Saccharomyces cerevisiae S288C: one gene and its partners. Changing the gene in region 1 together with any one later gene gives a genetic interaction. Each region holds a gene or a part of one and is shown in the gene's direction. Other genes may lie near its edges. The genes, in order: CST26, COX12, KRE6 and CAT5.

Evidence for each region.
Region 2: mutations in CST26 (region 1) and COX12 together harm fitness more than expected from each alone (negative genetic interaction), as found in Saccharomyces cerevisiae (one large-scale study listed by BioGRID).
Region 3: mutations in CST26 (region 1) and KRE6 are lethal when combined (synthetic lethality), as found in Saccharomyces cerevisiae (one large-scale study listed by BioGRID).
Region 4: mutations in CST26 (region 1) and CAT5 together harm fitness more than expected from each alone (negative genetic interaction), as found in Saccharomyces cerevisiae (2 studies listed by BioGRID).

The regions. Positions count from the first base shown.
Region 1 is NC_001134.8:316,934-324,953, reverse strand, and holds CST26 (putative acyltransferase), read left to right. Parts: upstream 1-3,344; coding exon 3,345-4,538; downstream 4,539-8,020. Other genes in the region: TCM62 (Tcm62p), read left to right, coding at 1-613; QDR3 (Qdr3p), read left to right, coding at 1,009-3,078; long-chain fatty acid transporter FAT1, read right to left, coding at 4,679-6,688; FIG1 (Fig1p), read right to left, coding at 7,090-7,986. UniProt on the Saccharomyces cerevisiae protein: Acyltransferase with lysophosphatidic acid acyltransferase (LPAAT) activity. Fatty acyl substrates include 18:0-acyl-CoA, 16:0-acyl-CoA, 17:0-acyl-CoA and 14:0-acyl-CoA.
Region 2 is NC_001144.5:219,870-227,100, reverse strand, and holds COX12 (cytochrome c oxidase subunit VIb), read left to right. Parts: upstream 1-1,928; coding exon 1,929-2,180; downstream 2,181-7,231. Other genes in the region: RIC1 (Ric1p), read left to right, coding at 1-1,675; seripauperin PAU23, read left to right, coding at 4,042-4,416; YLR036C (uncharacterized protein), read left to right, coding at 4,969-5,580. UniProt on the Saccharomyces cerevisiae protein: Component of the cytochrome c oxidase, the last enzyme in the mitochondrial electron transport chain which drives oxidative phosphorylation.
Region 3 is NC_001148.4:853,920-862,738, forward strand, and holds KRE6 (beta-glucan synthesis-associated protein KRE6), read left to right. Parts: upstream 1-3,663; coding exon 3,664-5,826; downstream 5,827-8,819. Other genes in the region: YPR158C-C (gag protein), read right to left, coding at 1,016-2,338; YPR159C-A (uncharacterized protein), read right to left, coding at 6,395-6,496; GPH1 (glycogen phosphorylase), read left to right, coding at 7,387-8,819. UniProt on the Saccharomyces cerevisiae protein: Involved in the synthesis of (1->6)- and (1->3)-beta-D-glucan polymers of the yeast cell wall in vivo. It is required for full activity of beta-glucan synthase in vitro.
Region 4 is NC_001147.6:557,052-564,779, reverse strand, and holds CAT5 (putative monooxygenase CAT5), read left to right. Parts: upstream 1-5,048; coding exon 5,049-5,750; downstream 5,751-7,728. Other genes in the region: phosphoribosylaminoimidazole carboxylase ADE2, read left to right, coding at 1-304; GTPase-activating protein RGA1, read right to left, coding at 587-3,610; IAH1 (isoamyl acetate-hydrolyzing esterase), read left to right, coding at 4,103-4,819; ubiquitin-specific protease UBP2, read left to right, coding at 6,138-7,728. UniProt on the Saccharomyces cerevisiae protein: Catalyzes the hydroxylation of 2-hexaprenyl-3-methyl-6-methoxy-1,4-benzoquinol (DMQH2) during ubiquinone biosynthesis.

The DNA.
Region 1 (8,020 bases):
ATATTACGGCAGTATCGAATCCATAAAAGCGACCACAGGGGAGGCATTCTTATATAACTCCATTGATGCTGAAGCGATTCCAAATAAAGTTCCGAAATCCTTCCTCCAAAATACGGTCACTTTAAGCATTGGTGGACATAACGAAATCGAAATCGACAGAAGAAGAAATGCAATAGATAATTGCTTAAATAACGTCCTATGTCATGGGCTGGCCAAAGGTTTCATCCCAGGTTACGGCATCTCCCTACTGAAGGCAATTCCAGGTTTGAATGAACTGAAAGCAAATGAACCCAATTTCATGACTAAGGTAGGCATCAATGCTGTTTTATCAGCAGTTATTCTCCCATCAGAAGTGGCGTTTAAGAATGCATATGGGTACAACTATTATGAGATCAATAGCCTGATAGCAGGCGCTATAAACGAAAAATCGTTTCCAATGGCCAAGTTTTCTCCAAATTCAGAACCGGTGAACACAGTAAAGGATGGAAACTTGGAGCCATGGAGCAAAATGGATTCTTGTTTAGCCGGTGTAGAAACGTTCATTGAATTACTTACAAGCTGTAATACAATTATCACATGTGTATACAAAAAGCCTGAACGGCACAAAGCCTAGATAAAGCCCTTACATACTTTTAAATAGTCAGAATGAGTCATTGTAAATAGATATTGCCACGGCGCTGCCTTTTATCACTTTTACCTCTTCGTAAATATCTATTATTCCTGCTCAATTTCTCATATGCGGCTTCGGAAAAACTCGGGTTTTTCCACGCCTCAGCAGTAACTCCATCTACCTTTGGGGATTTGAACCATCTCATTCCAGTTTTGGATAACTGCGATTAGATTAAAATATTAAAAGATTATCGATTAGATAAGATAGAAACCAACAAAATTTGTTGTAATAGCTGTGTCCTTGTATCCTTAAAAGAAAACAGGGTTGAAGGCATATGTATTCACATCTTTCTAACTTGTTAACGTCTATGCTAGGACCGAAGTCAGAAAGCGATAAACATGCAAGCCCAAGGTTCACAATCGAATGTAGGGTCTTTGAGGAGTAATTGCTCTGACAATTCACTACCGAACAATCATGTTATGATGCACTGCGATGAAAGCAGCGGCAGCCCGCACAGCGAGCACAACGATTATAGTTACGAAAAGACCAATCTGGAAAGTACGGCATCAAATAGTCGTGAACACAGAGACAACCAGCTAAGTAGGTTGAAGAGTGAGGAATACGTTGTTCCAAAGAATCAACGTAGGGGACTATTGCCTCAACTCGCCATTATACCGGAGTTCAAGGATGCCAGAGATTATCCACCGATGATGAAAAAGATGATTGTCTTCTTGATTGCGTTTTCCTCCATGATGGGCCCCATGGGCACATCTATCATTTTTCCAGCGATCAACTCAATCACAACAGAATTTAAAACATCAGTGATTATGGTAAACGTTTCAATTGGTGTGTACCTTTTAAGTCTTGGTGTTTTCCCATTGTGGTGGTCTTCTCTATCCGAGCTAGAGGGCAGAAGAACTACTTACATAACTTCATTTGCATTATTGTTTGCATTTAATATCGGGTCTGCTCTAGCTCCTGATATCAACTCATTTATTGCCTTGAGAATGCTCTGTGGGGCTGCTTCTGCCAGTGTTCAAAGTGTAGGTGCTGGAACAGTGGCTGATTTATATATTAGCGAAGATAGAGGTAAAAATTTGAGTTATTACTATTTGGGTCCACTACTGGCGCCGCTACTATCTCCAATTTTTGGATCTTTGTTAGTGAATCGCTGGCCCTGGAGATCCACTCAATGGTTTATGGTTATTTTATCCGGATGTAATGTCATTCTTTTGACGGTGTTACTACCTGAAACATTAAGAAAACAAGATTCTAAAGGCGCTATCGCTCAAATTTTGGCTGAAAGACGTATTCAAGTAGACAATAACGAACGTGGAGAGATACAAGAAGATTATCAGAGGGGAGAAGATGAGACAGATCGAATTGAAAACCAAGTTGCCACATTATCTACTGAGAAGCATAACTACGTTGGAGAGGTAAGGGATCAAGACTCGCTAGATTTAGAAAGTCACTCTAGCCCCAATACTTATGATGGTCGAGCTGGAGAAACCCAATTGCAACGGATTTATACAGAGGCGAGTAGAAGTCTGTATGAATATCAGCTAGATGATAGCGGTATCGATGCAACAACAGCACAAGTTACGAGAATAAGATCAACAGATCCAAAGTTAGCGAGATCGATTCGAGAAAATAGTCTGAGAAAATTACAAACCAACCTGGAAGAGCAAGTCAAAAAAGTGCTATCCAGTAATGGAGGTGAAATCGCTCCTAAACAGGTATCAGCGGTGAGGAAGGTCTGGGACACCTTTTTTGTTTATTTTATCAAGCCTTTAAAATCATTGCACTTCCTAGAATATCCACCCGTGGCACTTGCAATAACATTTTCCGCAATTTCCTTTTCCACAGTATACTTTGTTAATATGACAGTTGAATATAAATATTCAAGGCCTCCTTACAACTTTAAACCATTATACATTGGTCTACTGTATATTCCGAATTCTGTAACATACTTTTTCGCCTCAATTTACGGTGGACGTTGGGTGGACATGCTTTTAAAAAGATACAAAGAGAAATATGGAATTCTTGCTCCTGAAGCTCGTATATCGTGGAATGTTGTTACATCTGTAATATCTTTCCCCATTGCGCTATTGATATTTGGCTGGTGCCTAGATAAAAAATGCCACTGGGTAACGCCACTAATTGGAACAGCCCTCTTTGGATATGCAGCTATGATGACAATTGGTGCTACCCTTTCCTATTTAGTCGATTCATTGCCGGGAAAGGGTGCCACCGGTGTTGCTTTGAATAATTTAATAAGGCAAATCTTGGCTGCAACCGCAGTCTTTGTCACCACACCCATGTTAAACGGTATGGGAACTGGGTGGGCTTTCACAATGCTGGCCTTTATCGTCTTGGGTGCTAGCAGTGTACTTATAATACTGAAAAAGCACGGTGATTACTGGAGAGAGAACTACGATTTACAAAAATTGTACGACAAAATTGATTAATCATATCGGTTAATAAGACGGAAGCGTAAATATTTTCATTGTAGACTTTTCATAGGGTGGCACATACATAGTTTACTTTAGTTTATGGTAAATCGTTATTGTGCTAAAAGTATTATTAAATAATGTTCAACAACATCTCAAGAGGCGAAAAACTCATCAGAAAAAGAAATATAAACGCGAAAGATCATTAATGAACACTAGCCAACAAAAAAAAAGGATATATCAGGTCCACTGGTATTGAGATTGCTAGCGAGGTCAATAAGCTGATGCTGCATCAAAAAATAGCTCATAAAGTTCGAAAAGTCGTCGTCCCAGGTATTTCCTTATTGATTTTCTTCCAGGGATGCCTTATTCTTTTGTTTCTCCAACTCACCTATAAGACTCTTTACTGTAGAAATGATATAAGGAAACAAATTGGTCTCAATAAAACCAAAAGATTATTTATTGTCTTGGTATCATCCATTTTGCATGTTGTCGCACCATCTGCAGTGAGAATTACCACTGAAAATTCCAGTGTTCCTAAAGGTACTTTTTTTTTAGACTTGAAGAAGAAAAGGATTCTTTCTCATCTAAAGTCCAATTCGGTGGCCATTTGCAATCACCAAATATACACGGATTGGATATTTTTATGGTGGTTGGCTTACACATCGAACTTAGGGGCTAATGTCTTCATTATTTTAAAAAAATCGTTGGCTTCCATTCCTATCCTCGGTTTCGGTATGAGAAACTATAATTTCATTTTTATGAGTAGAAAGTGGGCACAAGACAAAATAACCCTAAGCAACAGCCTTGCTGGCCTTGATTCGAATGCAAGGGGCGCCGGCTCACTTGCTGGAAAGTCACCTGAGCGCATAACTGAGGAAGGAGAGAGCATATGGAATCCGGAGGTTATTGATCCAAAACAAATCCATTGGCCATACAATCTTATCCTATTCCCTGAAGGTACAAATCTCAGTGCTGATACTAGGCAAAAAAGTGCTAAATATGCTGCCAAAATAGGCAAAAAGCCATTCAAGAATGTGCTACTGCCTCATTCTACAGGCCTAAGATACTCGTTACAAAAGTTGAAGCCAAGTATTGAAAGTCTTTATGATATTACGATCGGCTACTCCGGTGTAAAACAGGAGGAATATGGTGAGCTTATATATGGGCTGAAGAGCATATTTTTAGAAGGAAAATACCCGAAGTTAGTCGATATTCACATCAGAGCATTTGATGTTAAAGATATTCCATTAGAGGACGAGAATGAATTTTCAGAATGGCTGTATAAAATTTGGAGTGAGAAGGATGCTCTAATGGAAAGGTACTATTCCACTGGATCATTCGTAAGTGATCCTGAAACAAACCATTCAGTTACCGATAGTTTCAAGATCAATCGTATTGAGTTAACTGAAGTGCTAATATTACCAACTCTAACAATAATTTGGTTAGTTTATAAACTTTATTGTTTTATTTTTTGAATTTAAATAATCCTTTCCATATGTTATTAGGTACATATATAGATAGATATAAAACTTTTTTTGATTCTTTATCAATATTACGTTTACATACGTACTCTCGTGCAAGGAAAAATACTTTATCCTAATTCAGGAACATCAAATCATAATTTAATTGTTTGTGCATCGATGGCTTCCCAATCAGCAGCGGTCAAGACTTCATAGCGCTTGTAATTCTTGAGCCAAAAAATAGTGTCATTTCCATCCAAACCCTTTGGTAATTTTTGCTCTCTATAAACCTTCTTCAAAATTTTATGATTATCTGTCATTTTAATTTCATCAACAAATTTAACAAATAGGGGCATAGCATAAGACGGTAGATTTAACCGGCTCAAGGAATCATTTAATAATTTGGTCTTTGCAGTGATGTCAAGAGAGTTGTCAGTTAGTTTAATAACTGCAAAACCAGCTCTACCTTCATATTTAGGTACTTTAATACCAACAACTAGAACTTGTGCATATTGTTCTTTGTTACTGGCCGTCAACTGATCTTCTACTTCAGTAGTGGAAACATTTTCAGATTTCCATCTGAAAGTATCACCCATTCTATCAAGGAAATACCATAATCCATATTCGTCCGCTTTTAATAAATCTCCACATCTATACCAAGCATCGCCACGTCTGAAGACATCCCTCACAACTTTGGACTTTGTTTCCTTGGCATTACCAAGATAACCTTGAAAAGATGTTTCTGGTTTTTTAGGGAAAAAGATTCTCATTAACATTTCTCCTGGTTCGCCAACAGGGGCCACTTCGCAGAAACCCTTGGAATTTCTATATATAACGGAATCGTCATTTGGGTCCATCCTTACCAATGTTTGTTGGAATGACAAAAACCATTGAATTATAGTACCATAGTTCCTACATGCGCCAATTCCAAAGTCACCTTTCTGGAAGGTAGTTGTAGCAAAAGGAGCTTCAGTTGCGGCATAGAATTCACCAATAACTTCTATGTTGAACCTCTTCCTGAAGTCCTGCCAGATGTCAGGTCTCAGCCCGTTACCATAAGCAACCTTCACCTTATGCATCTTTTCATACTTAGAAATTGGCGTATGTAACAGGTATCTACAGACTTCTCCGACATATTGGATGTGCGTGGCTCCTGTTAAATAAACTTGCTTCCAAAATGTACTGGCAGAAAATTTATGCGATAACGCAAGGCAACCACCGTGAGATAGAATGGCGCACGCACCTAATAAGGCAGCAGTTGAATGGAACAATGGCATGGCTGTGAACACAGTGCTTTCATTAGTCATATGTAAAACATGACCAAAAACTTGACAACCTACGGAGGATTTTCTCCAAGACATAATAGCGGATTTAGGCAAACCAGTGGTTCCAGATGTATAAATTAACATAGAGGGTTTAAAATCGGTCAAGCCTAGTGGTGTCCTAACGTTGTCTTGTTGTAAGAATTCCGGTGATTGCGAATTTAAAAGTTCATGCATTAAGTCTTGTTCTTCAAGATAGTTTAATTTAACATCAGGAAGTGCGTTTTTGATTTCTTCTTCCGATTCTCTGATCGGATTACTGGCATCAGGGTCAATAAATACCTGCGTAATATTGGAAATCTTTAGGGAGTGAACCAGCGGAGTGCCTTTAGTATTATAGTTTAAAAAAGCTGGAATAGCCCCAATGTTCCACAAAGAAAGCCATAAAAATACGAAAAGAGGTTTATTAGTACAATCGATTGCCACGTAGTCACCGGCCTGAACGTTATAATCAAAATGCAAAATATGAGACAATCTCAACACTATGTTATAAGTTTCAATATACGTAAAGGTTTCGAGTTGAAATTCTCCCTTTTCGGCCATGGGACGGGTGTAACTAATCGCTAAATGGTCACCATTTTGTTGGACCTGTTTAATAAATAAGTACCAGTTTTGAAACCTATGTCTTCTCACATCAATGATATAACAAAACACGCTTTTCAAAAAGTAAGGAATAATATACCAATCCTCCTTGTATCTATATTTACGGTCTAATTCATCAAAATAATTACCAAATAGATAACCCAGTGATTTCTGGATAGGGGTTATAATTAGCTTGATAAGTCTGAATAATAGCAGGAAAATCCTTGACAAGGCAAAGACAACAACCTGTATGGGAGACATAGTCGGTATTCGCAGCCTATTAAAAGTTCAACGATATAGAATTTGAATGATTTGGGCTTTTCAATTTAGTTTACGACTTTAAGGTCCTTATTTTTTTTGCTATAACATTAGTATTTATAAAAAATTTCTGGAGCTTTGTTACATTGCGCGAAAAACCCGCGTTCTATCTTTTTAGTCGCTCATCAAGGTGACAGTAAATAAAACAGACGGTAATGATTAGAGTTTAGGTAAGCTCATATTTTCTCTGTTGTTACTTAATTATCGAACGTTAAATTTTTTAAGTAGTTCATCACATTATATAATGTTAATCGTGAATTATATAAATTTTTTCTCCTTTTACTTTTAAAAATTGACATTCTGAAATATCCGCTCAAAACTTATATGTTTATTTGAGGATAAAACTAAACTTTGGAATGCAATGTAGATGAATCCGAAGAGTAGTTATTGTACCTATTTTGGGCACATGGAACATTATCAATTTCATCTTTCAAGCTTTTCCTATCCCTTAAAAATATTAACCATAAAACCACACTGTCTAAAAGGAGGAATGCAAAGCTAAACCAAGCCATTACTGCTGCCTTCTTGCCCTTCTTGACAGTGATTATATTCATACTTGATGATGGAACCAATCTGTAACTTGCATTTATCCCTACATGAGTCCACATCGCACCAATACCCCATGTCAAAACTATAGTTGAACTTAGCAACAGTAGAAATTTATTAACCGCTAGTTTGAATGGTAACTTAGGGACAGTTACATACAGAATAAATAGAAACATTAGGATTGTTAGGATTACAGTTGCCATCAAGACATATGGATGTATAACATTAACCGAAGTTAATTGGGCTAACTTCAAAATGTTCAAGACAACGCTTGATTGGGTTTTGGAGCTGGAAGATGCAATATTTGAGAGTTGAATTTCCAAGTCTCTGTATAAGGGAACCGAGCTTAAATTCTTTCTTGCATAGCAAATTGAATTGGAGAATGTAGTCATATTATTGTAAGAGCTATATTGGGAGGGAATGTTATCAATACAAACACCCATGTAACCGGATCTTATAATGACTTCCTCCAAGCCCAGAGTTGTATTTGATTTTTCATATGATTTCTCTATGATCGTATAAAAAGGTGAGTTGTCATCAAATTTATACTTCACTAGAAATGTTGACTGATTTGACGGGTTGTAACAGCCGATGAGAAGAAAAATCAAAAGAAATATTGAAATTAAATTAAAAGCTAATGCAAATATTCTGGGCATACGCTTGGTAAAAAACCAAATCATTGAGATTGCGACCATTTTTTTTTTTTTTTTTTTGTTTGTTTGTTTGTTT
Region 2 (7,231 bases), on another chromosome or scaffold:
CGTATTAACCAATACGAACAATGATGTAATCATATATTCACCTGTGACAAGTTCTTCAATCAATAATGATAATTTACAAGTCATAAAACTTCCTACAAAGACTTTCAATAATCATATTGCTTTTGTAAAAATTAATTCTTCCTTGAGGTTATTTGCTACTTATGTGTCGAACAAAAACATACTGCTTATCCACAATCTAGAGACCAATATGTGGTCTAGTTTTGCTGACCAAAACGTGTTGGATTTACATTGGCTAGGTGATAATTATTTGGTTTGTCATATGAAGAATGATGATGGCTCAACAAATCTGAAATGTCTGCAGATTCCACTGCAAGAAGCGAATCCGGACGTGGAACTATCAGATTATGTCATGTGGGAATACAATGTTCCAGAGAATACGATTGTTTTCAGTTTACATGTTAATACTTTATCCCGGTATAAGTTGTTGAAAATGAAATCCAAGAATCACAATGCTTCTGAAAAACAACCTGATGCATTGCTTAAAACTGCCGAGATTATTTTAGTTACTGATACACAGACAATTGTCTTCGATGTAATTTCTACTGTACATCCATGTGGATTAAACATCATCAAAAAATTCTACCAGTATCTCAAAATTAACATTCCAATTGATGTTTTACCCAACAAAATTGAGTGGATAATTAACATGAAGGAGGGCTTGTTATTTTTTGCCGATAGGAAATTTATAAAGCTTGGCAAAGTGGATGGAGGGGGCTGGCAAACCTTAACTTTGTTGGATAACATAGAAAAAATAATCGATGTTATCAGGGACGAAATATTTGTAGTTCAAGGCCATAATTACGTCGTATACTCTTTGGAAGATTTATGGGATGATAAAAAGCCACTAGTTTCCATTCCAATCGAAGAAGATTTGTATCCAATATCAACCACCCCAGAAACAGCTACAACACATACACTTCACTGCATTTTTAACGCGCGATTTTCCAAATTGGTGGTGAAACACCAAATATACCTCGACCAATTAATCTTAGCCAAATTAGAAGACAACACAGATTTGGAGGATATTTCACACAATTATCGTTTTTTAAAGCCTTACAAATTTGCACTCGAAAAGATTTTGTCTACTAAAATACTGCGAAGCGACTCTTTGGATGATATCCTGAAATTAATTAAGATGTATGACAACACCGATCCTGAGCATAATATTTCACCACCAACCCACAGTGGTATGTTAGAAATTATTAGTAATTGTTTAAGGAAGATCGAAACTAAATACTGGAACCATCTATTCACTAATCTAAAGATGACACCAAGAGATTTATTAGCACTCTGTATCGAAGAAAATGAGGCTAAAATGCTTGGCGTACTTCTGTTAGTGTTTTTAAATTACGATGAGAAAGATTTGGGAGATGATCTACATTTTAAGAAATCAGATTTAGGGACTGAGGAAAGCAAAGCTCTAAATGATAACTCTACAAAAAAGTCAGAGAAATCTGTCACTAATTTATTGAAGGATGAAGAATTAATGCTTAAAGTCTTAGAGCTTTTGGTGACAAGTGCTGCAAACGCCACAGACCCAATTAAAGCTACCGATTCGTGGGACATGTGTTTCCAATTAATACGCTTACTCAAGGAATTAGACAGAGAAAACAACACACAATTGGTTCAAAAAGCACTCGAGAGATTCAAATAAATCTATATGACACCATGTATTCTTTACCATATAGCTTCATAACATTGACCAATCAATTTTCAGAAATGCGTCGCGCGTAGTTTTGCCCGATATCCCCATCCCTTCAGGATCTTTAAAAGGTGATGAAAGATGCACCAGATAGAAAAGTTGCATTAAAATGATTAGCAGAGATATACAAATATTTTAGTAAGAATACATAAAGTATCTTTGCTTTCACAAATAGGAACAAGCACATAAATACAGTATAATAGACATGGCTGATCAAGAAAACTCTCCACTACATACAGTTGGTTTCGATGCTAGATTTCCCCAACAAAACCAAACAAAGCATTGTTGGCAATCTTATGTGGATTATCACAAGTGTGTTAATATGAAGGGCGAAGATTTTGCTCCGTGCAAGGTCTTTTGGAAGACCTATAACGCCTTATGTCCCCTAGACTGGATCGAAAAATGGGATGATCAAAGAGAAAAAGGTATTTTCGCAGGTGATATCAACTCAGACTAAGGATCTTAGTTTCGTTTTTAGTAATGTGCACTTAGCCTTTTTTATATCATTATTATTAATTACTAGAATTCATTTTTGCGTAGTAGACCTACACGGGATGAAGGATATCTATATGAAAAGTAAAGTAACAATAGGAGATAATGAAAAAGTGATATCATACGCTAACGAATGTTCATGATGGAGCCAAATTCCTAAAAATCAAACAAACAGAAAAAAATGAGAATGATGTGGGGTACTGAAGTTTTATTTTTCATATTTATTTTTAATTATAGTAAGTAGCCATTTCTATATATATTCAAAAATTATTTGACCCTCGTAACATCTGCCACTGCACTGAAAAGAACAAGGCAATGGATAACGCTGATAAAGACGTCAGCATGAACTTTCAATTCACTGAGATAGCAACATTTTCGAGGATTATATAAGGGGTACTAATCTCTTCTAGTCATCGTTTGAAATACATTCAGGCTGAGAAAGATAAACGCTGAACATGTTGAGAATAAGGCACTTCCTGGGACCTACTAAAAGATAATAATATAGTATTTGAAGAGACCTTCATCAACAGCCTGAGATCGGCACACATCCTTCACAAGCGCCCCAGTTCCAGACTGAAGTACACATTTCTATCTCTTACAGTCACTACTTGCGATTGCTACTACTAAACGAAATGATGGCTGATTTCTGAATGTCAATTCTTTACTTATTGTTCTATCAGGCTAGAAGGATAGTAACATAAACTTCTAAAGTACCTTTAAAGAGCCTCAATGCACTGCCTTAACAAGCAAATGACAATTTTCCTATCAATTGTTTCACGAAATACGTTTGTCGTAATTTTACGCATTACAGGTCAGAAGGAGACTAGATAAGGCCGATTCTCCGAGTACTGTTGAACCACAGGCTTCAGCAAGTGAAAACCAACAGACAAAACAAGGAAAACAGCAAGATTAACCGTTTATATTTGCTTCTACTACCTCAACGGAGAATGGAGCAGGCCTTTGAAAACGCTCCTACTTTTGAAATTGCCTTTGTAAATATTGTATCTCCAGCCGCGCTTAGCTAAGTGGATATCACTAGATTAAAAAACACTCTCGAGCTACCCTATGAAGACAAGATTCATCCATAAACTCCCTAAGTGGGTATCCATTAGATGCCAACTACTTCACTCATGCAATACATACAGCAATTGCAAGACTTGTGATTTTAATCCAAAAGAAACTTCCCTGGGTGTCATGAACCCAATCAATGGCCGTAACTCTTCGTATGGTCAGTTTATAACTCTCAATCACGTTTCCTCGCTCATACCCTAACAGGTACGACTCCTCTGATCATATAGAGGGATTTTAATGTTTCTGATTTGGGAAACATTCAATTTTTCTCCTGACAACCGTTTAGTGTCAAACATTGGATATTGCCCTCGTTCAGAGGGCACAGAATAAAATTTGATTTCTGGTTCATTTTCTTGGCCAAAGATTAATTGAAGTTGTCAAGGCATGCCAAAACTTCCTTTAAAGGTATCATCCCTGTACCGAACATTCCTGTGCTCCTGTATATATCATAATAAGATATAGGTAGTACAAAGGCGCGGATCCGTATACGAGATCTATAAAAAAAGCATTGTTGAAGAAAGGGCAACTGCATATTTGTAGTGGTGAAGAGTATGGGATAGGGGAGCCCAAGTAAGAGAAATATCAGCAGTGAAATAGCTATTCAACAATTTATCTGTTCGTCCGTCGCTTATTAAAAAACGGCATATAAATAGAGCAGCTTTGATTAACTCTTTCCGACAATTTGGCATTGTTATTTACATTCGAGTGAGCTCACATCTTCACTAAAAAGATCTACAAAAGTTCAATCGAAAAAAATGGTCAAACTAACTTCAATTGTTGCTGGTGTCGCTGCTATTGCTGCTGGTGTCGCTGCTGCCCCAGCCACCACTACTTTATCTCCCTCTGACGAAAGAGTTAACCTGGTCGAATTAGGTGTCTACGTCTCAGATATCAGAGCTCATTTGGCTGAATACTATATGTTCCAAGCTGCTCATCCAACTGAAACTTACCCAGTTGAAATTGCTGAAGCTGTTTTCAACTACGGTGATTTCACCACTATGTTGACTGGTATTCCCGCTGATCAAGTCACTAGAGTCATCACTGGTGTCCCATGGTACTCCACCAGATTGAGACCAGCTATCTCCAGCGCTCTATCCAAGGACGGTATCTACACTGCTGTTCCAAACTAAGCCGATGGCCTCACAATTGGTATTTAGCACTGGATTGCTTTACGAACGGATAAAAATAATTATGATTTGACGGTAAGAAATAATTAGATATACATACGTATACAAACATATATATGTATTACAGGTACTTTTAATCAGTTGCACTGTGTTCAAAAAGATATTTTTTAAATGCGGGGGGAGATTCAAGTTTTGTTCTCGCATTTAAATTTCTGCATACAATTTGTACTTACAAGAACCTTATACGATTCCAGTTGAGACACGTACTGATATATTAATGATCATATTAAGAATCTTAATGCTTAAAACTTCTCTTCAATTCAGCATTTGATCTGTGGCAAGTTAATCTTGTTCCATTTAACGTGGATTTGACTTGCCATGATCTTCCCATAAAGCGGTAAATAGCCTTTTTGGTAAAAAATTGAAAGTTTAAAAGTACGGAACAAACTTTCGAGTTTTTCCTCAAAGGCCCTTCACAACACACGAGAACTAAAAGGTAGTTAAGACAGGAACTTGCCGTTAAAGTTTACTTTCTCCTTCAAAGTATAGGAAATAATGAAAGAGGCAGAACTTAGTGCGACAGAAAGCCAAGATGAGATCCCAAAGTCTAATTCCTTATTAATTATAGAAAAATTAACAAAGGCCGTTTGTAGCCTTTATTTTATAAATTGTTTTATGGTGCCATCAGTAGATAATTTGATTGAAAAGTACCCAAAAGCAATCATCATTAAGATCATAGATATGATTCTGGGGGCGGTAACAATTTCCCTCGTTATTATAGTTTTCTTTTTATATCGAAAGAACGGTCATTTTAAAAATGAAAATAAAACAAAGCCAAAGAGATGTTCGAAGGTAGTATGTCCCAGCTGTGCTGCCAGAAAAAAGTATCCTAAATGGTTTCAGCTAAAGTATTTGTTATTGGTATCAATGACTGCTTTCAGCTTCTACTTTTGTACCAAAATTAGGTTTTTTTTTAAAACTGACCAAACTATTAATTTACACCGACTATCACAGCTATTTAGATTGCAGCTAGGCTGGATATGTACTACTGCATTATTATTCTATTTTTACGATGCGTTGATATTACATAGCGGGTTCATTGAAGGGTATAGATGTGTCAATGGAAAGGGAGCGATGTCTGAAGGTAAAACCGGGCAATTAAATTGAGGATTTTACCTAATATGTATTATTTTGGAATTAGCTTGAAATGTGAAGGTATCATTTTACTGTTGCATATTGGATAATTGGTAAAGTTACGCAAAGTATTCAATATCATCTTCTTGCATTACTCGACCATTGAGAATAATTTACTATATAGTTTGAATACGAGATTACACCTCGACAAAAGTAGTTCTATTATTTGCACGTAACAATTATCAGAAAATGGGTGAACTTCGTATTAATTGTTGGGATTTCGTTGTTGATATTAGGTATACAAAATATACTAGAAGTTCTCCTCAACAGTCTTGGAATTCACGAAAGGGAGTTGATAGTTCTGATAATAAAATCACTTTGTCTTCCTTTCTTTTATACTTTGTCATTCATTATTCTACTACATTATCAATTTGTTAGAATGAAACTCTAAAACATCATCTGTTTAGTAGTATTTGCGTTACTAGTCAATTATGATCGTTGACTCTTATTCTAACAGCTAGTAATATTACCCCCGTTACGTATGAAAGTGTTGGAATAAAAATCCACTATCGTCTATCAACTAATAGTTATATTATCAATATATTATCATATACGGTGTTAAGATGATGACATAAGTTATGAGAAGCTGTCATCGATGTTAGAGGAAGCTGAAACGCAAGGATTGATAATGTAATAGGATCAATGAATATAAACATATAAAACGGAATGAGGAATAATCGTAATATTAGTATGTAGAAATATAGATTCCATTTTGAGGATTCCTATATCCTCGAGGAGAACTTCTAGTATATTCTGTATACCTAATATTATAGCCTCTATCAACAATGGAATCCCAACAATTATCTAATTACCCACATATATCTCATGGTAGCGCCTGTGCTTCGGTTACTTCTAAGGAAGTCCACACAAATCAAGATCCGTTAGACGTTTCAGCTTCCAAAATTCAAGAATATGATAAGGCTTCCACTAAGGCTAACTCTCAACAGACAACAACACCTGCTTCATCAGCTGTTCCAGAGAACCCCCATCATGCCTCTCCTCAACCTGCTTCAGTACCACCTCCACAGAATGGGCCGTACCCACAGCAGTGCATGATGACCCAAAACCAAGCCAATCCATCTGGTTGGTCATTTTACGGACACCCATCTATGATTCCGTATACACCTTATCAAATGTCGCCTATGTACTTTCCACCTGGGCCACAATCACAGTTTCCGCAGTATCCATCATCAGTTGGAACGCCTCTGAGCACTCCATCACCTGAGTCAGGTAATACATTTACTGATTCATCCTCAGCGGACTCTGATATGACATCCACTAAAAAATATGTCAGACCACCACCAATGTTAACCTCACCTAATGATTTTCCAAATTGGGTTAAAACATACATCAAATTTTTACAAAACTCGAATCTCGGTGGTATTATTCCGACAGTAAACGGAAAACCCGTACGTCAGATCACTGATGATGAACTCACCTTCTTGTATAACACTTTTCAAATATTTGCTCCCTCTCAATTCCTACCTACCTGGGTCAAAGACATCCTATCCGTTGATTATACGGATATCATGAAAATTCTTTCCAAAAGTATTGAAAAAATGCAATCTGATACCCAAGAGGCAAACGACATTGTGACCCTGGCAAATTTGCAATATAATGGCAG
Region 3 (8,819 bases), on another chromosome or scaffold:
TAATAAGGTACGGTTGAGCCGTTCAGCGACTCCATGTGCTCGGGAATCCGCTGTGGTTGTATAGCATGGAGTTATACCATTTTTTTCAAGGAATTTATGGAGAGTTCTGTTAGTATACTCAGAACCACGGTCCATTTGTATAACCAAGACACTGGCCTGAAATTGGTTTTTAATGAAAGCTAGTATCGTGGTAAATACATCGAGGATAGAGTCCTCGCGACGGTCGTGCAATGGATAAACCCAACGGAATTTTGTTGTCTCATCAGTAAATGAGATGAAATAGGATGGTGCACTTTTTGGTAGGTTGTGAACTGGACCAAATATGTCAGTATGTAGGTATTGAAAGGGTTCGTATGAATTTTGGTATTTTAGTCGTGAACCTTTGATATGTCTGTGTTTGGTGCTTTTGCCGATTAAACAATCAGGACATTGATAGTCAATAGCACTAGACCAGTCGACATCTGATTCGTTAAAATACGTGATGGTGTTATTTTTAAGTGAGTATCGAATTGTCTGTGCATTGGCATGCGCAAGCATTCGATGAATGAAAGGATAAGGATATTTGCGTGTACTTTCACTTGTATGGACATTATTGATGGTGGGTACGGAGATATTTGATGGAAGCAAGTACCTTTTAGATACCCAGTAAAAGTCTCCATATTGTACGATAGGTGCAAGTACAGTGCCGTCAGATCGTTCTAAGACGTTTTTGGTAAAGCATGCTGTGATATCTACTGCAGCCAATTCATTCAAACTGAGTAAGTCATAGGCTATGTTAGGAGTGTGCAATACCTTTATTGATGTTTTGGTGTTGTCCTGGAAGTGAAATTGTAGGTCACCAATAGCGTTAATTGGTATATTTCTTTTTTGAGCATCAACTACGTTTATGTCAGGATTAGATGATGCTGAGTGTATGTGATGAGCAGATCTTATAAGGGTTCGTGATGCTCCTGAATCGAGAAGGAGGTGTCCAGGGAGTTCATCATCAGAATGATTAGTGTGATTTACCGTAGATTCAGTAAGTTCCTGGCCTAAGGTGAAGGTCGTGCTTATTGTTCAATTGAATCGGTTCAGTAGTTGATTTACTGATGGAATCGTTGTCCGTGCTGGGAGAGTTATTAGATGTGGATACATTGTGAGCCCTGGCTGTTTTCGATTTCGAATTATTTGTTTTTTGAGGATTCCGAGCTATAACTTTGGGTTTGGTTGTATTCGTATAGCTGCGAGAATCATTCTTCTCATCACTCAGATTTCTCCTGTAATTAGGTTTGCTGTTTCTCGATCCCTGTTGTTCTTCATAAATAGCATGGATATCTAAGAACAGTTCAGCGACTGTCATATTTAGATGTCGATGACGTGTGTAGCGTAAAAATTTATATTCGCCAGATAGACCTCTCATAATTAATTGGCATGCGACCTTGTTATTGATATGAATGCCATTATTGTTCAGTCTGTCGATAATGTTTGTGACTTTTGTTTCAAATGCATCTGCAGGTGTACTGCCATTATATTGCAAATTTGCCAGGGTCACAATGTCGTTTGCCTCTTGGGTATCAGATTGCATTTTTTCAATACTTTTGGAAAGAATTTTCATGATATCCGTATAATCAACGGATAGGATGTCTTTGACCCAGGTAGGTAGGAATTGAGAGGGAGCAAATATTTGAAAAGTGTTATACAAGAAGGTGAGTTCATCATCAGTGATCTGACGTACGGGTTTTCCGTTTACTGTCGGAATAATACCACCGAGATTCGAGTTTTGTAAAAATTTGATGTATGTTTTAACCCAATTTGGAAAGTCATTAGGTGAGGTTAACATTGGTGGTGGTCTGACATATTTTTTAGTGGATGTCATATCAGAGTCTGCTGAGGATGAATCAGTAAATGTATTACCTGACTCAGGTGATGGAGTGCTCAGAGGCGTTCCAACTGATGATGGATACTGCGGAAACTGTGATTGTGGCCCAGGTGGAAAGTACATAGGCGACATTTGATAAGGTGTATACGGAATCATAGATGGGTGTCCGTAAAATGACCAACCAGATGGATTGGCTTGGTTTTGGGTCATCATGCACTGCTGTGGGTACGGCCCATTCTGTGGAGGTGGTACTGAAGCAGGTTGAGGAGAGGCATGATGGGGGTTCTCTGGAACAGCTGATGAAGCAGGTGTTGTTGTCTGTTGAGAGTTAGCCTTAGTAGAAGCCTTCTCACATTCTTCTGTTTTGGAAGCTGAAACGTCTAACGGATCTTGATTTGTGTGGACTTCCTTAGAAGTAACCGAAGCACAGGCGCTACCATGAGAAATGGGTGAATAATTAGATAATTGTTGGGATTCCATTGTTGATAAAGGCTATAATATTAGGTATACAGAATATACTAGAAGTTCTCCTCGAGGATATAGGAATCCTCAAAATGGAATCTATATTTCTACATACTAATATTACGATTATTCCTCATTCCGTTTTATATGTTTATATTCATTGATCCTATTACATTATCAATCCTTGCGTTTCAGCTTCCTCTAACATCGATGACAGCTTCTCATAACTTATGTCATCATCTTAACACCGTATATGATAATATATTGATAATATAACTATTAGTTGATAGACGATAGTGGATTTTTATTCCAACACAAAATGAGATATGTCAGTATGACAATACGTCATCCTGAACGTTCATAAAACACATATGAAACAACCTTATAACAAAACGAACAACATGAGACAAAACCCGTCCTTCCCTAGCTGAACTACCCAAAAGTATAAATGCCTGAACAATTAGTTTAGATCCGAGATTCCGCGCTTCCACCACTTAGTATGATTCATATTTTATATAATATATAAGATAAGTAACATTCCGTGAATTAATCTGATAAACTGTTTTGACAACTGGTTACTTCCCTAAGACTGTTTATATTAGGATTGTCAAGACACTCCGGTATTACTCGAGCCCGTAATACAACAATTTACAACAAGATTCGGGCGTGTGGCGTAGTCGGTAGCGCGCTCCCTTAGCATGGGAGAGGTCTCCGGTTCGATTCCGGACTCGTCCATTTTAATTTTTGATTATGGAATACAAAATGTATATTTCGTATAAAATTATCTTTATTGTTTTTGTGGCTTAGTGATTTTCATTCCCCTCTTTTCTTTTTCCTCTCAGCCTGCAAGTGTGACGCGATCTGAAAGGCGTTTTACCCGCAAAACGCCAAAGAATCATCCTGAAGCGGTAAATTCTAGACTTCAGATCACATACGCTCTATTTGGACAGTTTTTTTTTTTTTTTCATATTCCTGATCAGATGAAAGTTAACGCTATTTTTGGTGAAAACACAGAATAAAACAGCTTCTGATAAAATTTAACTAGGAACGTCGAAAACAACAACCGTTAAAATATTTTTAGCTTACAGAAGCACTTAAGAATCACTAACGTTTTCTTCTTTTTTTATTTTCAGTCCAAAGCTTTCGTATTGCTGCAAGTGCTCGAGAAAGCTGCATATTGTTATTGTATTCGTCCTCTCGTACTAGTGTTCATTACTTTATCGTCTATAAATATATTGTTGTTAGAATTTTTCTACTAAGGCAAGTTAGTAGTTGCACAACATTTCTCTCGTTAAATCATCTAAAGTTTACAGAATAGGTATACCACTCACTCCTTTACTCTAATGCCTTTGAGAAATCTAACTGAAACGCACAACTTTAGTAGCACAAACCTGGACACAGATGGTACAGGCGACGATCATGATGGTGCTCCTCTTTCCTCATCTCCTTCTTTTGGACAACAAAATGACAATAGCACCAACGATAATGCTGGTCTCACAAACCCTTTTATGGGGAGTGACGAAGAATCTAATGCGCGGGATGGAGAATCTCTGTCTTCTTCTGTTCATTATCAGCCACAGGGGAGTGACTCTTCACTACTTCATGACAATTCTCGTCTAGATCTAAGTCAAAATAAAGGTGTATCTGATTACAAAGGTTACTATTCCAGGAACAATAGTAGAGCTGTGAGTACGGCTAATGATAACTCATTTCTTCAGCCACCACATAGAGCTATAGCCTCTTCTCCTTCTTTGAATTCTAATTTATCGAAGAATGATATTCTCTCACCGCCAGAATTTGATAGATATCCCTTAGTGGGTTCCAGAGTCACTTCTATGACTCAACTGAACCATCATGGTCGCTCGCCAACATCATCTCCAGGAAACGAGTCGTCCGCCTCATTCTCTTCTAATCCGTTTTTGGGCGAGCAAGATTTTTCTCCATTTGGTGGGTATCCTGCTTCATCGTTCCCACTTATGATAGATGAAAAGGAAGAAGATGATTATTTACACAATCCTGACCCCGAAGAAGAGGCAAGACTGGATAGAAGGAGGTTCATAGATGACTTCAAGTACATGGATAAAAGGTCTGCTAGTGGGCTAGCTGGTGTATTGCTCTTGTTTCTGGCAGCCATCTTTATTTTTATTGTTTTGCCAGCGTTGACCTTTACCGGTGCTATTGATCACGAAAGCAACACTGAAGAAGTTACATATTTAACTCAATACCAATATCCTCAACTATCCGCCATTAGAACATCTCTGGTTGACCCAGACACACCTGATACAGCGAAGACAAGAGAAGCTATGGATGGCTCTAAGTGGGAATTAGTATTTTCTGATGAGTTTAATGCAGAAGGCAGAACATTTTATGATGGGGATGATCCATACTGGACAGCCCCTGATGTTCACTATGATGCTACTAAGGATTTAGAATGGTACAGTCCAGACGCTTCCACAACTGTGAACGGAACCTTGCAGCTGAGAATGGATGCCTTTAAGAACCATGGCTTATATTACAGATCAGGTATGTTGCAGAGTTGGAATAAGGTTTGTTTCACGCAGGGTGCTCTAGAAATCTCTGCAAATCTACCAAATTATGGCCGTGTTTCAGGTTTGTGGCCCGGTCTTTGGACTATGGGTAATTTAGGGAGGCCCGGTTATTTGGCTAGTACCCAAGGTGTCTGGCCTTATTCTTATGAATCGTGTGATGCTGGTATTACACCCAACCAAAGTTCCCCGGATGGTATTTCTTACTTGCCGGGACAAAAGTTAAGTATTTGTACTTGTGATGGTGAAGATCATCCGAATCAAGGTGTTGGTAGAGGAGCTCCAGAAATTGATGTTTTGGAAGGTGAAACTGATACTAAGATTGGTGTAGGTATAGCCTCTCAATCCTTGCAAATTGCACCTTTTGATATCTGGTACATGCCTGACTATGATTTTATCGAGGTTTACAATTTCACAACAACGACCATGAACACTTATGCTGGCGGTCCATTTCAACAAGCCGTATCTGCTGTCTCAACTTTGAACGTAACTTGGTATGAATTCGGTGAGTACGGTGGCTACTTTCAAAAATATGCCATTGAGTATCTGAACGATGACGACAATGGTTATATCCGTTGGTTTGTTGGTGATACTCCAACTTATACTATTCATGCTAAAGCCTTACATCCTGATGGTAATATTGGTTGGAGAAGAATCAGTAAAGAACCAATGTCGATTATTCTAAATCTGGGTATTTCCAACAATTGGGCTTATATTGATTGGCAGTATATTTTCTTCCCAGTGGTTATGTCGATTGACTATGTTAGAATATACCAACCAAGTAATGCTATATCCGTGACATGCGATCCAAGTGACTATCCAACATATGATTATATTCAATCGCACTTAAATGCATTCCAGAATGCAAACTTAACTACTTGGGAAGATGCTGGTTACACGTTCCCTAAGAATATCCTAACTGGTAAATGTACTAGCTCGAAGTTCAAGTTATCCTCTTAAGCGGGTATTTTGATGGTAAATCTACAAGCCCTCGGCTTTAATTATTACCATGGTCATAAAAAGTTACTTACAATGCATACATTTTTCTTTTAGGAAGAAATAAAATATAAAAGACTTATCGTTCAAATCGGGTCATAAAGGGAACTAAAGGTATACTAAGGTAAGACGGGGTTCTCATCTGCACGTAATTTTTTATTATTTTTAGTGAGGGAGAACTTTACCTCTAAGATTGTTTATATAGGTATACACATTTTTGTAAAACTGATTATTCGTTTTTTTTTTTGAAACAAGTTATTAGTACAAAAATCAAGCTCTCACTACTTACCAGTAGTTATTTTAGTAGAATATTATTAACTCTACCGAATAAGTACGATATGAGAAATTGCTGATTTACTTGTGTGTGTTCCTATTATTATCCAGGAGCGCCTCTAATCTATGCTTATAATTTTACGTTGAAAAAAAAGGAGTCTGTATAATTATTTCAAATTCATCCTTTTCTCACGGATATTGTGTACCCTATGAGGTAAATAATTGCGCTTTATTTTCTCCCTGTGTTTGCTCGCTCATCTTAAGACGAAAAAAGTAATGGAACACCTACCATCAATAGAAGTACCACACTCATGTAAATAACAAGCGCAAGTGGTTTAGTGGTAAAATCCAACGTTGCCATCGTTGGGCCCCCGGTTCGATTCCGGGCTTGCGCAGATTTTATTTTTTGCTCCCTTCTAAAGCTCTGGATGATTCACCAACTTATCCAAGGCAAGGTCCAACTACCGTTTCCTTCGATGAAAAAGACAATAGGTAGCTCTGTCAAACCCCGTGGAAACGCAAACTCATCGGGAGTGTCCTACTGCTTTCCACTAGTTATCCGACTAGCAAGGCAACTAGTCAAGATGAAACCGTCTCACGAACATTTGTATACGATCTCTTCTCCTGATAGACAATGAAATATACCCCGGTGCTTGTTTCCCACTAAGGAAAAAAGGCCGCTGCCCCACAGCGGGAAGGCCCTTCAAGGGGTAGCGGCATCGCCTAGTAGCACTGTGGGGGGAAGAATACAACGCTCAACGGAAGAGGAAGCTCTGCGAGATGCAGCCAGCACCTTCTATGTTTCAAGGATAACATTTTGAATTAACAAGGAACGCCTTCCCCAATTACCGTTATTGTATTTTTACTTTTTAGAGACTCTCGAGGAAATAAGTAAGGGGTGGATAATTTTCGCTAAAAAAGTTTCAGGGGAGGTTAATAACTACCATGTGCATGCTACAAAGATAAGGAAGGAACACCGACGAATATATTATATGTATAAAAGGAGCATGAAGTTTGTATAGCAGTAAAGCAAGATTCTTTGTGCCTTCCCGTTTCTTGTTGTACCTTTTGTTTTGATTACGTACGAAGTATTATAAGTTTTTTCTGCTTGCTATTGTAATATAAAGTAAGCACAGATTGAGAAGGTAACGATTACTAAAAATATCCAAAAGAAAAACAATTGGATCTTTTTTGACTTCTCTACATTACAATTTCAGTAAAGCAGCTTTCAACTTAATTTAATTTTGAACAATGCCGCCAGCTAGTACTAGTACTACCAATGATATGATAACCGAAGAACCTACTTCTCCACACCAAATCCCAAGGCTTACAAGGAGACTTACGGGGTTTCTTCCCCAAGAAATCAAGTCAATTGACACGATGATTCCTTTAAAGTCAAGAGCGTTATGGAATAAGCATCAAGTCAAAAAATTTAACAAGGCAGAAGATTTTCAAGATAGATTCATTGACCATGTGGAAACTACATTAGCACGTTCCCTATATAATTGTGATGACATGGCTGCTTATGAAGCTGCTTCGATGAGTATTCGTGACAATTTGGTCATTGACTGGAACAAAACTCAGCAGAAATTCACCACAAGAGACCCAAAGAGAGTTTACTATTTGTCTTTGGAGTTTTTGATGGGTAGGGCTTTGGATAATGCCCTGATTAATATGAAGATTGAAGATCCGGAAGACCCTGCTGCCTCAAAGGGAAAACCAAGAGAAATGATTAAAGGGGCTTTGGATGATTTAGGTTTCAAGTTAGAGGATGTCTTGGACCAAGAACCGGACGCAGGTTTAGGTAATGGTGGTCTAGGTCGTCTTGCAGCTTGCTTCGTCGACTCAATGGCAACGGAAGGCATCCCTGCCTGGGGTTATGGTCTACGTTATGAGTATGGTATCTTTGCTCAAAAGATTATTGACGGTTACCAGGTGGAAACTCCAGATTACTGGTTAAATTCTGGTAATCCATGGGAAATTGAACGTAACGAAGTGCAAATTCCTGTCACCTTTTATGGTTATGTTGATAGACCAGAAGGCGGTAAAACTACACTGAGTGCGTCACAATGGATCGGTGGGGAAAGAGTTCTTGCTGTCGCGTATGATTTCCCAGTTCCGGGTTTCAAGACTTCCAATGTAAATAACTTAAGACTATGGCAAGCAAGGCCAACAACAGAATTTGATTTTGCAAAATTCAATAATGGTGACTATAAAAACTCTGTGGCTCAGCAACAACGCGCAGAGTCTATAACCGCTGTGTTGTATCCAAACGATAACTTTGCTCAAGGTAAGGAGTTGAGGTTGAAACAGCAGTACTTCTGGTGTGCTGCATCCTTACACGACATCTTAAGAAGATTCAAAAAATCCAAGAGGCCATGGACTGAATTTCCTGACCAAGTGGCTATTCAGTTGAATGATACTCATCCAACTTTAGCCATCGTTGAATTACAGAGAGTTTTGGTCGATCTAGAAAAACTAGATTGGCACGAGGCTTGGGACATCGTGACCAAGACTTTTGCTTATACTAACCACACTGTTATGCAAGAGGCCCTGGAAAAATGGCCCGTCGGCCTCTTTGGCCATTTGCTACCCAGACATTTGGAAATTATATATGATATCAACTGGTTCTTCTTGCAAGATGTGGCCAAAAAATTCCCCAAGGATGTTGATCTTTTGTCTCG
Region 4 (7,728 bases), on another chromosome or scaffold:
GCCAGGTATGGTGGCTGCAATGACACCACTTCCTGTCATCGGTGTGCCCGTAAAAGGTTCTTGTCTAGATGGAGTAGATTCTTTACATTCAATTGTGCAAATGCCTAGAGGTGTTCCAGTAGCTACCGTCGCTATTAATAATAGTACGAACGCTGCGCTGTTGGCTGTCAGACTGCTTGGCGCTTATGATTCAAGTTATACAACGAAAATGGAACAGTTTTTATTAAAGCAAGAAGAAGAAGTTCTTGTCAAAGCACAAAAGTTAGAAACTGTCGGTTACGAAGCTTATCTAGAAAACAAGTAATATATAAGTTTATTGATATACTTGTACAGCAAATAATTATAAAATGATATACCTATTTTTTAGGCTTTGTTATGATTACATCAAATGTGGACTTCATACATAGAAATCAACGCTTACAGGTGTCCTTTTTTAAGAATTTCATACATAAGATCACTTATTATACATACATACATATCCAGTAACAAGAAGCAAGGAATAATTACCTGCTTAAGTCTGCGATTAAAAAAATAACGTTTCGATACAGTTCATATAAGGCGGCTCAATGCAGAACCGAGGATAGCGCTACGTCAGGATATCTTTGTAGTTCCCAAATATAAATGCGACAATATAGTTTCTTTCTTTCATATCAATAATATCCTTTTCTCCACTGAAATCACGAATCAAACCTGGAGCAAAAACTAAAGCCAAATTATAAAGCGTCATTCGATTCCAGTGACTGTACCGTGTAACCTTTTCTATATGTTCACTCAGTACTCTTAACACCCTATAATGTTCCCTTGGAAGGTCTTCCAATATGTTTTTTAAAGCGCTCTTGCTCGACATATAAGTGTCCGAATTCTTTGCTTCTAAGGACAACTTTCCTCCAACAAATGGCAAGTTTTCCATCATTTTTTTAGATTTAACTAACCTCATCAACGGCTCGTATATTTGAAAGGTAAAGATAGGGTTGGGGAGCTTTCTTAAGTATCGCTTCAACACACCAGTAACAACGTTGAGATCTTGTTCCGTTAAAATATTTGGCGTTTCGGTATTTTGTTGTACTTTCCATGCAGAAAATTGCTTTTCTATTTCTTCTATGACTAGCTGGGAACCTGATTTTCTATAAATGCCCTCCGATCTCATATTTTCTTCGTCTGATTCAATAAAATCTATGCAGACAGATAGTATCATCGGTATTTCATTGTTTTCATAATTGCACCTAGCAACGAGACTTGAACCATACAAATTGCTTCCATCCAAATATTCTTCTCCATCTTTACTTTGTCCCATATTTGCATCGTTCTCGATAGGTACTAATCTAACGTCACTAAATTCATTAGGATTTTGTAGCACAGGTGGTGAAATTTCTAAACGGCCGGAATTACTACCAGATGAGGGAGCAGAAAGCAAAACTGGGGCACTTTTAACGATGGAATTTGTATTATTTGTACTGACACCTTGTATAGATTGCTCGGTCTGTGGCTTTGCAGATGAAAAAAACTTCCAAAATTTTGGTTTAACAGAACTTCGCGCTACAGAACTTGCAGTTGCAACATGTTTCACGGGTGGCGACTCACCTAAGCTGATTTCATTTATCATCGGTGGATTATTTGATAATTCATTGGAGTCAAGATATAGTTTATTTTTCTCGCTATTATAGGATTCAATATGTCGGCGTAGAGCCTCTTTCATAGACTTCATTTCAGTGATCTCTTTCATTAATTCTTCCCTTTGAGATTCAAGTTCTTTCAAATTTATTTTTAATTGCTTCAGATAGTGCTCTGCCGTGACAATTTCTTTATCAAGCGAGGGATCGTTTCTAGATTCGCTATTTTCGTAAAGTGTTTCCTTCTGTTCCTCAAAATTGTCGCTATTCTCCAATTGGGTCTTTGGAGTTTTCTGCCAACTAGGTATGCTATAATTTTGGTTACTGTATGAAGACCCATTCCGCCTATCAAATGTCAATGAGCTATCTAAAGGCGGAGTTCGATACATGGATACATTACTTGGTGTAGCTGGCGATTGTAACAAATGATCAATTGGTGACGGAGATTTAAAACTGTGATTCTTCTGTTCTTCAAGGGCGGTTTCCTTTCCACTAGTCACCCTAAGAGTGCCATTATCGGTAAATCTTTTATAGTTTAGGCTTTTTTGATTATTCACCAAAATATCTAAAGAAGTGCTGTTAGAATTTGGTGTGTCAAGGCCGGTATGTGAATCATTATCCCTCATTAAATCTTGTGAGCGTCTAGATGTCACTTTAGAAGCAGGTGAAAGTTTAACGTTACTATCCTGTTTGCCTGTGGCTCTGGATTTTAGATTAATCATCAAATCTTTGGACCTTCGTGACAATGATCTTGAAATTTTTCTGCCTTTTCCACTATTGTTTGAATAGGAATATTTCTCTGCTTGCTCTTGCTGAACACCTGCTAGGTCAGGAACACTTCTGTCTTCCTTGACAACTTCAACAACTGGCCTTTGAAGTGCGTTTGTTTCTTCGACAATATTATTCAATACTTTCCTTGATAGCGAAGGATCCATTTGGGATATTTCACCGGTGTTGAAAATATCCGTATTTGAACCCTTCGGATTTTTCATATTAACAGAAACTGGGCTATGCAATACCGAGGTCAACAATTCACTTGCATTTCGTGAACTGTTATTTGGAGGATCAATTTGATCGCTCTCTTCCAGACTATCGTTAACAATTATTCCCTGTCTATAGGAGCTTGGAGATTTTGCGAGATACTGACCCGAAGAATTTCTCAACGGTGTTTTATTTAACAAATTCCTCGAATGGCTAGGAGGTTCTTTACAACTTAGGGTTGGATCCGTAGCAACATTGAGTGACATATTCGCTGAAGGTGCTTCTGCTTCCTCTTTAACATCATCATTTACATGCTCCGTGCTATTTTCTTCCGGTCCTATAACATCTATGGACACATTTGAACCGAATTTTGAACTTCCAGAGTTGTCATCGCTATCGTTATACCCAGTGATAAAATGCGGAACAATATCACTCGAATTGGTTTCTATGTCCTTGGAAGGTTCAGAACCTGAAGGAATCTCATTAACTAGTGATGCAGGTCTGCTAAATGTTTTTTCTGGGAGGACTGCAGAAGCTGAGACCTCATCAGTATGGCCATTATCAATCACAGGTGTGGGTAAACTTGGTAAATTCTTTTTGAGTCGCCTTTTCTTCTCTTCGTAGTATTTTCGTTTGGCTAATAGCTTTTCGTGACAGCTTAAACAGAATAAACCTCGCTTGGTTTTCGCGTACCGTAGGTCAGCAATATTTTCACCACATTTACAGCATTTAAAACAATCTGAACAATAGGCCTCATTTGAAGAGGACAGTATTATGGCCAAATCATCAATCTTTTTACCGCAATTTTTACAAGAATCGGAACAATCAAAGCAGATCAAAGCACCTGTTCCAAGGACTAAAAAATCAGATTCGCAGCTTAATGGTTTCTCACATTTGTAACAAGCGAAACAATGTGTGTGCCATCTATCACAACCCAACTCATATGCATGCCCCGTGGTAATAAATTCTTTGCATCGTACGCAGGATGGAAATTGTTCATTGGGAGCAGTTGATGCCATTTTAATATGCCGCTCTCTCCACCACTAGTACCTGAATCAGCTATCCTTGTCTTGTACAAAAAGCTATAATAGAGATAAATGTCAAAACCGTGGTGCTTTTCAGTTTCTTAAAAATTTTAGTGATACCGATCAATTTTTTTTTCTATTTTAAGCAACTGTGAATTGATCAAGAATGTTGACTGATCAAAACTCAAAACACCCTATTTGGCAAAGAAATTTAGTCTGTTTGAGCAGTCCTACCCTTGGAAAACGTTCAATGAATTAGCCAGTTGGCTGATACAATCTCATCAAAGGTCAATAGAGAAAAGCACACGTTAATTATATCAAATCTAAACTCGAGAACTGCCTTTTTTTTTTTTTCATTTTTCCTAATACGGCATAAAGCGCGCAATAATAAGGGCACTTTACACCTTCTCATCGTGGTAACACATACGAAACCAAGAACTAGCCTCTACATTATCATCTGTTCGTACGCTTAAACTGTGACCAAATATGGATTACGAGAAGTTTCTGTTATTTGGGGATTCCATTACTGAATTTGCTTTTAATACTAGGCCCATTGAAGATGGCAAAGATCAGTATGCTCTTGGAGCCGCATTAGTCAACGAATATACGAGAAAAATGGATATTCTTCAAAGAGGGTTCAAAGGGTACACTTCTAGATGGGCGTTGAAAATACTTCCTGAGATTTTAAAGCATGAATCCAATATTGTCATGGCCACAATATTTTTGGGTGCCAACGATGCATGCTCAGCAGGTCCCCAAAGTGTCCCCCTCCCCGAATTTATCGATAATATTCGTCAAATGGTATCTTTGATGAAGTCTTACCATATCCGTCCTATTATAATAGGACCGGGGCTAGTAGATAGAGAGAAGTGGGAAAAAGAAAAATCTGAAGAAATAGCTCTCGGATACTTCCGTACCAACGAGAACTTTGCCATTTATTCCGATGCCTTAGCAAAACTAGCCAATGAGGAAAAAGTTCCCTTCGTGGCTTTGAATAAGGCGTTTCAACAGGAAGGTGGTGATGCTTGGCAACAACTGCTAACAGATGGACTGCACTTTTCCGGAAAAGGGTACAAAATTTTTCATGACGAATTATTGAAGGTCATTGAGACATTCTACCCCCAATATCATCCCAAAAACATGCAGTACAAACTGAAAGATTGGAGAGATGTGCTAGATGATGGATCTAACATAATGTCTTGAATGCAGTAATCCTTTGTACGTACTCTGTCTATATTTCCCTAACTTTTAAGCAACTGTATAATTTTTCATATACGGGATTTTCAGGAAAAAAAACAATAGAAATCTATAAAACATGTTTCCTTATTTTTACAGACGAGAGTTTTATTCTTGTGAAAACGTCGTTATCTTCTCCTCCAAACCAATTCAAGGAATAAAGATATCACGTATACGGGAGAGATACATAGAAATTATGTTATCCCGTGTTTCAGTTTTCAAACCTGCCAGCAGAGGCTTTTCCGTCTTATCATCTTTAAAGATAACAGAACATACATCAGCAAAACACACCGAAAAACCTGAGCATGCTCCCAAGTGTCAGAATTTATCAGATGCTCAGGCTGCATTTTTGGACCGTGTTATTCGTGTAGATCAAGCTGGCGAATTAGGTGCAGACTACATCTACGCTGGCCAGTACTTCGTGTTGGCTCATAGGTACCCTCACTTGAAACCTGTGCTAAAGCACATATGGGACCAGGAGATACATCATCATAATACTTTTAACAATTTGCAATTGAAAAGGAGAGTCAGGCCTTCCTTATTAACGCCTTTGTGGAAGGCAGGAGCCTTTGCAATGGGGGCTGGTACCGCATTGATTTCTCCAGAAGCAGCTATGGCTTGTACTGAAGCTGTCGAGACAGTAATCGGAGGGCACTACAATGGCCAATTGCGAAACTTGGCCAATCAATTCAATTTAGAAAGAACAGATGGAACAAAGGGTCCAAGTGAGGAAATCAAATCCTTAACTTCTACTATCCAACAGTTCAGGGATGACGAGCTAGAGCATCTAGACACCGCTATCAAGCATGATTCGTATATGGCAGTTCCATATACAGTTATCACTGAAGGTATTAAAACGATTTGCAGAGTAGCTATATGGAGTGCCGAAAGAATTTAACCACCAGAAAGTGGCATACATCAGTCGCGTTATGCCAGAAAAGGAGAATTGAAAGGAAAACGGTTTGATAAATGTCCTAATTAAACTATCATGTATAAAATTATGTATCATCCTTACGCATTTTAACGCTATATGACCAATATGACAGGAATAGATACACTGTCTATAATTATGTAAATGGGGTATGGGTTCATAGTCTAAGGGTGAGTACAAACTGGATCTTTAACAAGAGTAACAGTTAATTAGAGCAAAACTATAGTACATATAGCTTGAAAAAAACAAGCGGCTTGCCATTGGAAGAACATTGCATAAAAACGGGGCCACTGCTAATAATAAAGTGGTAATTAAAAAGAAAGCTTTTGTTCAAGGTTAAGAAGGTATAAGGAAATGCCGAACGAAGATAATGAACTTCAAAAAGCAATTGAGAACCATCATAATCAACTACTAAACCAGGATAAAGAAAATGCTGACAGAAATGGGTCTGTTATAGAAGACCTCCCATTATACGGGACAAGTATAAACCAGCAGTCTACCCCTGGAGATGTTGACGATGGAAAACACTTACTGTATCCAGATATTGCCACCAACCTACCACTGAAGACTTCTGACAGACTTTTGGACGATATACTTTGCGATACTATTTTTCTCAATTCTACAGACCCGAAGGTCATGCAAAAGGGCCTGCAATCGAGGGGTATTTTAAAAGAGTCTATGCTTTCTTACTCAACTTTCAGAAGTAGTATTCGCCCTAACTGCTTGGGTTCATTAACTGATCAAGTGGTTTTTCAAACAAAATCCGAGTATGATTCCATTTCATGCCCAAAATATAATAAAATACATGTATTTCAGGCGGTCATCTTTAATCCATCACTGGCAGAACAGCAAATTTCAACTTTTGATGATATTGTTAAAATTCCTATTTATCATCTTAAGGTTAGCGTAAAAGTCCGCCAAGAACTGGAGCGGTTGAAGAAGCATGTCGGTGTTACTCAATTCCACTCACTAGATCATTTGCACGAATACGATCGAGTAGACCTTTCGACTTTTGATTCTTCCGATCCTAATTTGTTGGATTACGGTATTTACGTTTCTGATGATACTAACAAACTGATCTTGATTGAAATTTTTAAACCCGAGTTTAATTCACCTGAAGAGCATGAGAGTTTTACTGCCGACGCAATTAAGAAGAGATACAATGCTATGTGTGTAAAAAATGAATCACTAGATAAAAGCGAGACGCCATCTCAAGTTGACTGTTTTTACACACTTTTTAAAATTTTTAAAGGGCCTTTGACGAGGAAAAGTAAAGCGGAACCTACAAAGACAATTGATTCTGGAAATTTGGCCCTTAACACTCACCTGAATCCTGAATGGTTAACGTCCAAGTATGGATTTCAAGCAAGCTCAGAAATCGATGAGGAAACTAATGAGATATTTACTGAATACGTCCCTCCAGATATGGTGGACTATGTAAACGATTTGGAGACAAGAAAAATTCGAGAATCGTTTGTGAGGAAGTGTTTACAACTGATATTTTGGGGTCAACTATCTACCTCATTACTGGCACCTAATTCTCCCTTGAAAAATACGAAAAGCGTAAAGGGAATGTCTTCATTACAAACTTCTTTCTCAACACTACCTTGGTTCCATTTATTGGGAGAATCCAGAGCAAGGATTCTATTAAATTCCAATGAGCAAACTCATTCGCCTTTGGACGCAGAACCTCATTTTATTAATCTTTCCGTTTCGCATTATTATACCGATAGAGATATAATCAGAAACTACGAATCTTTGTCTTCTTTGGATCCTGAAAATATTGGGCTGTATTTTGACGCACTGACATACATTGCAAATAGGAAGGGGGCATATCAATTGATTGCTTACTGTGGAAAACAGGACATTATAGGCCAAGAAGCTCTAGAAAATGCTTTGTTAATGTTTAAAATTAACCCTAAAGAGTGTAACATCTCCGAATTAA